Saccharomyces cerevisiae S288C: one gene and its partners. Changing the gene in region 3 together with the main gene of any one other region gives a genetic interaction. Each region holds a gene or a part of one and is shown on either strand. Other genes may lie near its edges. The genes, in order: CIS3, MIT1 and CRH1.

What was found.
Region 1: mutations in CRH1 (region 3) and CIS3 together harm fitness more than expected from each alone (negative genetic interaction), as found in Saccharomyces cerevisiae (one large-scale study listed by BioGRID).
Region 2: mutations in CRH1 (region 3) and MIT1 together harm fitness more than expected from each alone (negative genetic interaction), as found in Saccharomyces cerevisiae (one large-scale study listed by BioGRID).

What each region holds. Positions count from the first base shown.
Region 1 is NC_001142.9:121,765-124,792, forward strand, and holds CIS3 (Cis3p), read right to left. Parts: upstream 1,185-3,028; coding exon 501-1,184; downstream 1-500. Other genes in the region: cyclin-dependent protein serine/threonine kinase inhibiting protein FAR1, read right to left, coding at 2,072-3,028. UniProt on the Saccharomyces cerevisiae protein: Component of the outer cell wall layer. Required for stability of the cell wall and for optimal growth. Required for resistance against several antifungal and cell wall-perturbing agents.
Region 2 is NC_001137.3:139,991-144,550, reverse strand, and holds MIT1 (Mit1p), read right to left. Parts: upstream 2,660-4,560; coding exon 659-2,659; downstream 1-658. Other genes in the region: YEA6 (NAD+ transporter), read right to left, coding at 1-224; YEL008W (uncharacterized protein), read right to left, coding at 3,659-4,039. UniProt on the Saccharomyces cerevisiae protein: Transcriptional regulator of pseudohyphal growth.
Region 3 is NC_001139.9:876,046-879,881, reverse strand, and holds CRH1 (transglycosylase), read left to right. Parts: upstream 1-1,689; coding exon 1,690-3,213; downstream 3,214-3,836. UniProt on the Saccharomyces cerevisiae protein: Dual chitinase/transglycosylase that plays a role in cell wall architecture. Chitinase and transglycosylase activities are coupled. Required for the polysaccharide cross-linking at the septa and the cell wall.

The DNA of each region.
Region 1 (3,028 bases), on a different chromosome or scaffold from region 3:
TCCTTTTCTACTACTACTCTAGTCGCATCCATTCCTTTGCATTTATCTTTTCTGCGGTTGGCCAATCCATTCTTCCGAGAATTTGGCTAGCCATACTTGATGTTTTCCCATTATTGGTTCGTTTGGCAATGCTAATTTTCTTAATTGCCCCTTATATACTCTTCCATAAAATGTTTTTTTTATAACTAATTTTCTGTATATCATTATCTAATAATCTTATAAAATGTTAAAAAGACTTGGAAAGCAACGAGTGATCGTGACCACATAATTGCCTCGCTACACGGCAAAAATAAGCCAGTCCTAATGTGTATATTAAAGGCTGCATGTGGCTACGTCTATTAAAAAAAAAATATTTATCTAAATAAAAGAAACCTTCTTTTAGAGAACCTTAAAAATGTAATATACAAATCATTCATACCAAAATCTTTTTACAAATCATAATCTTTTTCTATTTCTTTTCCCTTATAAAAGGTAGAACATTAGTACTTTGATGTAGCTATTTAACAGTCGACCAAAGAAACAGCTTCCAAATGAATGGCACTACATTGTTCGGCGACGTTTTGATCATACAAGTTGTAGAAATTGCCGGATAGACATTGGTAGAAAACGTCACTGTCACCCAAAGCCAAGTAACCATCTTCAGTAATGGACCAACCGGCAGCGTAGATGGCGCCGGCTTGTGGTGGTGGACCGTCAAATTGGAATTGTCTGTTAGCAACAATAGAACCAATTCTACCCTTGGCATCAGTCAAAACACCGTCCTTCAAGGTCAATTCTAAGGTACCAGAATTCTTACATGAGCTATCTTTCAAAGATGGAGTGGCACAAGAAGATGATGTGGCATTAGTAGATGTTTTAGATGCAGAGGAAGAGATCTTTTCGGAGCTGGTTGGGGTAGCGGTAGTAGTAGCTTGGGCTTGACTATCGGTGGCTTGAGCAGTAGCAGCAGAAGTGGCTTGGACTTGACCGTCACCAATTTGAGAGATAACGTCTCTCTTAGCTTTTGAAGAGGTAATAGCTTGAACAGCAATACCAAAGGTGGTAGTGTATTCGGCAGCACCACAAGAGATGGAGCCGGTTGGGGTTAAGGTGGACCATGGTTCACCTGGAGTGTAACCTTCAGCAGAAGCAGTGGCGGATAGAGCAGCAACGGAGGCAGCTAGGGCGACGTTTTTGAATTGCATTTTAGATGTAAGTTTAGCGAGTGAAATAGTTTTATGTGTCTTGATTTACAATTACTACTGCCAAAAAGAGAAGGTTAAGATAGACCCACCACAAGATAGATTGGCTCTCTTTCCCGAATACTTATATACTGACTGTTTGGAGATGAAACCTTCGAGAATTTTTCACCCACTGTCAACCTATTTCTTATTTTTGTTTTTGTTTGTGGACGTTTAGCTTAAATCGGCGCGAATTTTTTTGGCGCAGTACACGCTGACCCGTTTCTTTTGGGCGACCGTGTCTCGACCGTAGCAAAAGGGGAAAAAGAAAAGCTGGAAGGGCTAGGCGGGATCTGGCCCGTGGAAATCGTATGGAATGCATAGGCGGCCCGGCCAGGCACCACGGAAAAAAGCTGATTGTCCTCTTTTACGAGCCGTGGATTTGCAGGAAGAAGCAACGCACGCATGGAAAACACGTGACCTGAAAGTCACCGGAACAAATTAGCCACATCGACGTTTCTTTTACTATACAGCTCGAACAAGCTAACTTGAAATGCTACAACCATGTTGGTATAATTGTGTACAGACACGTGCATTTTTGGTACGAAGAGGGTTACCCGGCTGCGAGTTTTTTTCATTATGAACTAATTCAGGGAAATAATCCCGTTCGGGAAATAGATAAACAACGCCAAACGAAAAAAAATATATAGTGCATATATGACGAGATTTAATTATCGCCAATAGGTTCTTTCTTAGGCAAAATTAAAGTTTACTCAATTTCTATTTATACATTAACTGCTATTTACGACGCATTATATATATTCAGTCATTGCGTAGTATAGACGTGGAGAAACGAAAAAAAAAAAAGGAAAAGCAAAAGCCTCGAAATACGGGCCTCGATTCCCGAACTACTAGAGGTTGGGAACTTCCAGGGTCTGATGAATTCTTTGCTGCTTTACCAGGTCAAAATATTCTATTTCTATCAAACTAGAATGCGGGTGTTCATCCATAATTAGACGCGTTTTTTGTTCACCCGCAGCCATATCCCCCAAATATACTTGCTCGAATGTAGCTTGTGGTAGACGAAGAGTTACATCTAGATAACGCTTAGTGTGCAGCTCCTCTAAAAACTGCTTAATGCTAGCGTTCAATGGAGTCATGCGGCGTTGCGAAATTTCGTATCTCCAATGGTAAGATAACTGGTCAAAGGCCTTTTTTAATTTCTGATCATGCTCAATGTCAACAACGTCACTCCCGTTGAGGACCAAGATTTGCTTGGCGTATCCAGTTGCAATATGGTCATCTGTATCCACGTATGCACTTGTTGACGCTAATCTTTCACAAGTTTGTAATGTTACCTTATACTGTTGCTTTTCATCGCGGAAGACGTTTGGATTAACCACTTCTAAATTATCCAAGAAAGTTGTCCATCCGTCCCAATTTTTATTTATCATTCCGATGAAGGTGCCAAATGGGCCTACTACACCGGATCCATCTCTTCCAACAACAACTATTCCCAGTAAATCGTCTGTGTTTAATCCATCCAATATTTGATGAACACTCTTTAGAACTCTCTTGCGATACAGTTCCCCATCAGCATGCGACAAATTCAAACATACAATAAGTTTTAGCGGCGTATCACTGTGCAATCTTTTCCACGGTAGACGAGAATCATGGGATTGTGCTGATATAACATCAGGCGGCGCTCCTAAAGCGCCTATTATATTCACATGAGAGAGTTCCTTCACTGTAGAAACAATCTCACTTAATGGTAGTGTCTCCAGTGAAGAATTTTCTAGACAATACTTCCATTTGGGAAGCAACCACTTTTCGCAGTTTTCGTTGAACCTCAAGTATATTTCAGGTAT
Region 2 (4,560 bases), on a different chromosome or scaffold from region 3:
GTCATGTTTTGGAGACCTTGTGCTTGTAATCTTGTTTTCGCAACGTCAAAAGGACAGACCAGCATTGCGGATAGTGCACCAGATAAAGCACCTGAAATTGCAGCAACTCTAGGGTCAGCATTCTTTTTCAGCCTATTTAGTTTTGTGGGAATCGCATAATTTCCATTAGCTAGTGACGCATTTTTTGAGTTTTCTAATGTCGTTTTATTGTCTCCATTATTCATTATATAGCCGTGATGTATATTCCGCTTTTCATCAAACAATGAAAATAAGTTGAGAACAACTAATTTCGATGTACGTCCAAATTATATGTTTATTTGCTTATATATCAATTTGCTTATCTTTTCCACTTCATTTTTCCACCAGCGCGAGTATGTCGAGAATCATTTTCGACAGCATCTTCAAAAAATACACTAAGCTATCTTTCGTAGAAAATGTTGACAGAGGGGATTCTTTAATAAAGATATTTTATGATGTCAAAAGGAATAGCTTTTTTCCATAGGCAAATGAAGATGAAATTAAAGGCATGATTACGTAAAGAAGCGAAGTATATAAAACTGTAAAATGAAAAATGATATAATTTTCATGAGTAAACCCGATACTCAAAAAGGCAAGGAGAAGAAAAGAAAATCGGAGTACTTTTTTAAAATATATTTACTTATTGTGTAGTAGTTGAAGTGTTTGTATTGAGGTTGTTCATCGTATCATTATTGGTGATGTTTAAGATATTATTGTTCGCGTGACCCATAGCGAAGTTTTTGTGGTCGTTGGGCTCTTGTTGATAGTGATGATGTTGAGGATCAGATCCAATAGTGCTCAAAGTGTGACCAGAGCTCATTATATTTTGTTGAGGCGTCGCTATTGGATATACAGTGGGCAAAGGATGTTGGTGCTGGTGTTGATACATAGACGGATTTTGAGCACTTGCCATGGCATATTGGGGGAATCCCTGGTAATACACTTGCGATGGAGTGTACTGAGAATTAGCGTATGCAGGATTTGATAGCATGGTGCCTGAGTTAGTGCTTGTAGCACCAGAAGGTTCTGCATTCGTATTTGAAGTAGTATTTTCTTGTGCCCTCTTGTATGCAGAAGCAGAAGAATTGTAATAAGGAACATTCACATTCATAGAATACACCGGATAAGGAGCTGTAGAGGTAGCAGAGCTTGCACTATTATTATTGGCTTGATGGAGTAGTGGCTGCATACTGGATACGGGAAGGACATTCTCGGCTGTACCAGGAGTGCCAGTAGCGCCTGCGGCTGCTGATGCTGATTGACTTTCAGTAGGATGCCCATAATAAGGGTGTTGAGTTGAGGAGGTGGAATAGCCTTGATTCTCGTTCGTTGAAGCGTTTGTTACAGGGTTTGGAGGTTGTGTGGTATAATAGTTAGGATTGTTTATCGGAATTGTTGTATAATAAAATGGATAAGAAATTTGTCCTTGTTGTTGCGGATTAATAAAGTCACCGGTGGTGTTATAAGCAAAAGAGGCGTTATGGAATCTATTTGGATTGTTACCGTTCCCTGCATTAGTATTGACATTATTAATATTATTAATATTATTATTATTGTTATTATTATTATTATTATTATTATTATTATTATTGTTACTATTATTACTATTACTACTGTTATTACTATTATTATTGTTATTATTAACATGTGTATTCATACCAGTAGCGTTAGTGTTATCAGGAGATTGAGTGATATAAGGTGGATTCGCCGTATACATCAAAGTTGTTGATGGTAATGCGGGAGCAAATTGAGTGATTGGGTATCCAGAGCTTTCATCATTTTTATAATAATAATTTTTGTTTGCACTAGTAAATTGATTACTGCCAGCAGCATTTATATTAGCACTATTGTTATTCGTGGAAATAACAGTATTCAGGGGAGTGGAAGAGTTGCTTTTATTGTTTATATTATTAGGACCATTACCGGTGGTAGTGGAATTGTTTTTCACGTTGCCTAAGGTTGTATTTCCCATCGCGACAATTAGTTCCTGTGAAGGTCTAACATCTTTCAAAAAAGGAGAAGCTTTAGGAGTCACTAGACAATTTTGTTTTATATCTTTTACAGAATAATAAGAGACAATATGTAAATTTTCAATCGAGTTGAATGGAGGTCTCTTCAGCTTCACAGATATTGTCTTCTTCACCAGGCCAGTATACTTTAAAGGTAAGTTCGAACGGTTTGATGGAGAAATGGAGGTGTCTTGCTCTGACTCAAAACTTGAATGGCCCATAGTAGGTGGCAAATCAAACTGGTGATTCTTCAAAGGAGGTAGCTTGATTTTCGACGAAGAAGGGTTATTTCTCGCGCCAGAAGTTCCATCCGTAATGACGGCGGAATCAGTACTGCCACTCGAAGTAGCATTAGCATTAGACCCGGCGTTTTCCTTGTCTAGTTCCTTGTATATTAGAAACTTGCCTGATATTCTTGATGGAGACCAAGAAACGCCATCAGTCCATCTCTTGATGCCCGATATCTCTTCAATAAAAACGAATATACTACCTGATACGATCAAATAAGGTCTTTCTATTTCATAAGGCCTTCTTGGTATATGCTTTAACTTGCCATCCAAAGTTGCTTGAAGAATAAGCAAAGCGTCATCTTCATCTTCAATGTACCCTTTGAAAGTAGGCTCGATATCCATTTAGAAATTTACGTTGTCCTTGTGTCTAGTTGAAATGTTGTTTTGTGGAAAAAGATGGTGATAGGAAAGATGATGCAGTACAGGTATTTATTTTATCCTAGTAACACAGTATAGAAATGGCGTACAACAGAGGCGGACCAAAAAAGAGAAGAAAATAGGCTATATTGTCGATAGTTGAGGCGAGATATTAAATAATATTGATAATCTTAAAAAAGACAAACAAACAATCAAAAGGCTACCGGTGAACAGGCTGTCTAATTCACAGATAGAAAATAAAAGGGTTCGAAAACAGAAATGGAAGGGAAACGATCGGGAAACGAAAAAATACAAATAAACAAAATAGCTTTCTCACTACCTTCTCTCTAGCTTAAATTTAAATTTGATGCAGTAACGAGGTTTTGAGTTGCGCAAAAAAAACACCAAAGAAGGGGCAAGATGAGGAAGATTCAGCCAAATTGAAACAAACGGCACATAACTGTACACACTTCGATTAAGAAGAAAAGATAGTAACCAACGAGAGCGCGCAAGAATTCAGCGTTAAAATTACAGTTACAATTACAATTACACTTACAATTTTACAGTTTACAGTTACAGTTGCCGGCGGAAAAGGAGGAAGACAGGCCATTTTTTGCCTCGTTAACGAACTTTAAACGTAAAAAATAAGAAATGTACGGAGACTGAGAGGAAAACCGACCTGCGGGACTACGTAAATTGGGAAAAAATAAACAAAAAACTACGCCTCCACCCACACCTTCCGAATAAATGGGGGATTTGTAGGAAAAAAAAAACGCAAAATTTTTTCTTGTTTCGGTGAGTTGGACAGATCATTGCATACGTAGAAGACTTGCATCTTCTGTTCTTCGTCATCAAAACGTCTGAGTTGGCTGGCTCAACACCTCAGAATTAACCCCACGCGGGCAGTCTGATATGGATCGTGAGACCCAGCAAACGTGGGGGTATAACTACAATCTATTTTAGCCCACTGTTACCAATCGAAGCTTACAAACAACCAACCAGTGGCGCTATCGTCTCATCCATTATCCACACGTTGCTGTGTCGACTTGCCACGCTACATGACATTATCTTTGATAAACAGATCCACGGCATGTATTCAAGCTGTAGAACAGAAATATTGCCGTGTTCCGTTACCGGAGAACAATCGATGATGCCCCCATACCCCATACCCCATGCGTGGACGCACAAAGCACCCATACCTTTTACAATGCCGAACACCACCGGCATCTTGTAAAAATTAGAATTATTTGTCCGGGCGTTGACAATGCCTTTCTTGACATACACACCGCCTCTCCAAACGCCAATCTCCAGCCAATTAAATTGAACTGCTTTCGAAGATCTTCGGGGAATAAAGTGCATGAGCATACATCTTGAAAAAAAAAGATGAAAAATTTCCGACTTTAAATACGGAAGATAAATACTCCAACCTTTTTTTCCAATTCCGAAATTTTAGTCTTCTTTAAAGAAGTTTCGGCTCGCTGTCTTACCTTTTAAAATCTTCTACTTCTTGACAGTACTTATCTTCTTATATAATAGATATACAAAACAAAACAAAACAAAAACTCACAACACAGGTTACTCTCCCCCCTAAATTCAAATTTTTTTTGCCCATCAGTTTCACTAGCGAATTATACAACTCACCAGCCACACAGCTCACTCATCTACTTCGCAATCAAAACAAAATATTTTATTTTAGTTCAGTTTATTAAGTTATTATCAGTATCGTATTAAAAAATTAAAGATCATTGAAAAATGGCTTGCTAAACCGATTATATTTTGTTTTTAAAGTAGATTATTATTAGAAAATTATTAAGAGAATTATGTGTTAAATTTATTGAAAGAGAAAATTTATTTTCCCTTATTAATTAAAGTCCTTTACTTTTTTT
Region 3 (3,836 bases):
TCGCCCAGGAATAGATGACATAATCTTGATAACGTGAAACAGTTTAACGGGAGATTAACATGGTAGACATACGATGATGAAGATCTATTGTAAATTTCCAGGTTGAATACAAAACGGAACTAGTGTTCTTCCACAAACACGAATATCTTTTTATTTGCGAACAAGAATTGAGAAAAGAAAAAATACACGGTAAGATATATAGAAATAAGATGTACAGATCATTATACGCACCCTAAGGGACTAGTTTGTGTGAGTGAATGGCTGTGAAGTTTTATATTTATCTTTATCTAAAGAAGAATTTACCTGTTTTTTTCGGAAAACTAGTGCGCCAAGAGAGTAATTAGGTAGACCGGGTAGATTTTTCCGTAACCTTGGTGTCCCATTTTCTTAATGATAAGTATCGATCTGTGGAGAGGGGTAAAAAAACTTCTCCTCGAGGTTATGAGAACTCACAAAGGGAAATTGATATTTCTACACAGTAATATTATATATTCTTCTTTATACACTTCACCCATTATTCTATCACATTATGAATTCTTGTGTTTCAGCCCCATTAAATCTGATGACGGTTTTCCATTTTTGTGTCATATTTTTACATTGTGTATGATAACGTAGTAGCTTGTGAACGATAGGTAGTAATTAATTCTGTTGGTAATTAATTGTTGAACTGTAGTGTCAATCAAGAATAAATGCAGATCTTCTTATTCTATATAAGAGAAGTATAGAATACAGCCTTATTAGTAATATTAAACATGCTCATATGATTATCATGAAAGCATATTATGATTTCAATGTCATGACTTACATCCGTATATGTGCAAACACCAAGTTGATCATTTGAGCAATAGGTGTTTAACTTACTTTGCCCACAATGCCACTTAGTGTGTTATCATTCTCCATCGTGAAACATCAATGATGTGTGGCGTCCGATTACTTCATATGGTCACTAATGGATTAGTTATGAAGAAGTATGAGTAGCTATTTTAAGAGATTCTAATTCAAACATTATAGCAAACACAGAATTTCGGCAGACAAGTAAAATGTTATATCTTCGATATTTCAAGATGAAGCGGTGGCTCAATGGTAGAGCTTTCGACTCCAATTAAATCTTGGAAATTCCACGGAATAAGATTGCAATCGAAGGGTTGCAGGTTCAATTCCTGTCCGTTTCATTTTATTATTTAATTTTTTTTTTTTCGGAAAAAGAGGCTGGACAAATATCGCGAACCGCGTGAAGTGGCTTAGTTTTCCTTATTCGGTTGAATTGATGACGCGTTTTCCCAGCCCATCGATTTTTTTGGCGACTATTTCGATGGCGTTTTCCAGGAAAGTAAAAATAGATCTGAGCTATAATGCATTAGAACCTCTGAGGGCTTGCTTTTCGTGGTATGGGATACGAAAATGACATTATTAATTGCAAGGGCAGTTTCTTTTCGCTCGATCAAGAAGCAATGTTTCCGAATCGGGAATGTGATATAATTAGAGCGTATGGTTACTGGTTTCCCTCATGCAACAATGGATGTTATATAAATACTTGCTGGTTAGTAACATGAAAAAGAACAAAAGGTGAAACACTTTTGGAACTTTCAATAATTGCCTACTCCTCTCCATATTCTACATTTCTACTAAATAGCAAGAGAAAGGTTAAGATAATATAATATTCATAATAATTCAATACAGCAAAAAACCATGAAAGTGCTTGACCTACTAACGGTACTCAGTGCCTCTTCATTATTATCTACATTCGCGGCTGCCGAAAGTACTGCTACTGCAGACAGTACAACTGCAGCTTCTAGCACTGCTTCGTGTAACCCGTTAAAAACTACAGGTTGTACGCCGGATACAGCTTTGGCAACTAGTTTTAGCGAAGATTTCTCATCTTCATCCAAATGGTTTACCGACTTGAAGCACGCAGGTGAAATCAAGTACGGTTCAGACGGTTTGTCAATGACACTGGCGAAAAGATACGATAATCCAAGTTTGAAGTCTAACTTTTATATCATGTATGGTAAATTGGAAGTTATCTTAAAAGCTGCCAATGGTACCGGTATTGTTTCATCATTCTATTTACAAAGTGATGATTTGGATGAAATTGATATTGAATGGGTGGGTGGTGACAACACTCAGTTCCAATCTAACTTCTTTTCTAAAGGTGATACCACAACATACGACAGAGGCGAATTTCACGGTGTCGACACTCCTACCGACAAATTTCATAACTACACTTTAGATTGGGCGATGGACAAGACGACTTGGTACCTCGATGGAGAGTCTGTCAGAGTATTATCAAACACATCAAGTGAGGGTTACCCACAATCTCCTATGTACCTAATGATGGGTATCTGGGCCGGTGGTGACCCAGACAATGCTGCTGGTACCATTGAATGGGCTGGTGGTGAAACCAACTACAATGACGCTCCATTCACTATGTACATTGAAAAGGTCATTGTAACTGATTATTCTACCGGTAAAAAGTACACATATGGTGACCAATCTGGTTCTTGGGAATCTATTGAAGCTGACGGTGGTTCTATTTACGGCAGGTATGACCAAGCCCAAGAAGATTTCGCAGTTTTAGCCAACGGTGGTAGTATTTCCAGCAGCTCTACATCCTCTTCTACTGTATCTTCCTCGGCGTCTTCCACTGTATCTTCCTCGGTTTCTTCCACTGTGTCCTCCTCGGCTTCTTCCACTGTGTCTTCCTCGGTTTCTTCCACTGTATCTTCTTCGTCTTCTGTATCTTCCTCTTCATCCACATCTCCATCTTCTTCGACCGCTACTTCATCTAAAACACTTGCTTCCTCATCAGTCACCACATCTAGTTCCATTAGTTCATTCGAAAAGCAATCCTCCTCTTCATCCAAGAAAACAGTGGCTTCCTCTTCTACAAGTGAGTCCATTATTTCCTCCACTAAGACCCCAGCCACTGTTTCCTCTACCACTAGGTCTACAGTTGCCCCAACTACTCAACAATCTTCCGTATCATCGGACAGTCCTGTACAAGATAAGGGTGGTGTCGCAACATCAAGTAATGACGTGACCAGTTCTACTACCCAGATATCAAGCAAATACACATCTACAATCCAAAGTTCTTCCTCCGAAGCCAGCTCGACAAACTCTGTTCAAATTTCTAACGGTGCTGATTTAGCTCAGAGTTTACCAAGAGAGGGAAAACTTTTTTCCGTACTCGTAGCTTTACTAGCCTTGCTATAAGTGGAAAATTTCTTTTAGAACAATATTCGTAGATCACTAAGTAACATTTGAGACCGAAAAAAATAATAGCATAATAAAAATAAATACTAAATTTTAATACAACAGAAAGTCTTATACCTAAAGCATGATTTTTCCTTTTATTATTAAGGGTACGGTTCATACAAAGGAAATTTATGTCATCGTGTTTTAAAGAAAAAAAGAAAGCCCTGTAGGGGGCTCGAACCCCTAACCTTATGATTAAGAGTCATACGCGCTACCGATTGCGCCAACAAGGCTATTCTATTATTGGAAATCTGACCTCTCAGGTTTAATATGTAATTAAGAATCTATAGACTCGATTATCCACATTTCTTTCTTTTTTAGTCTTCTGAGATTTGGGTGAATAATTCTGAGAGATGGGTGAATTTCGAGATAATTGTTGGGATTCCATTGTTTGATAAAGGCTATAATATTAGGTATACAGAATATACTAGAAGTTCTCCTCGAGGATCTAGGAATCCTCAAAATGGAATCTATATTTCTACATACTAATATTACGATTATTCCTCATTCCGTTTTATATGTTTCATTATTACATTATCAATCCTCGCATTTCAGCTTCCTCTAACTTCAATGACCGCTTC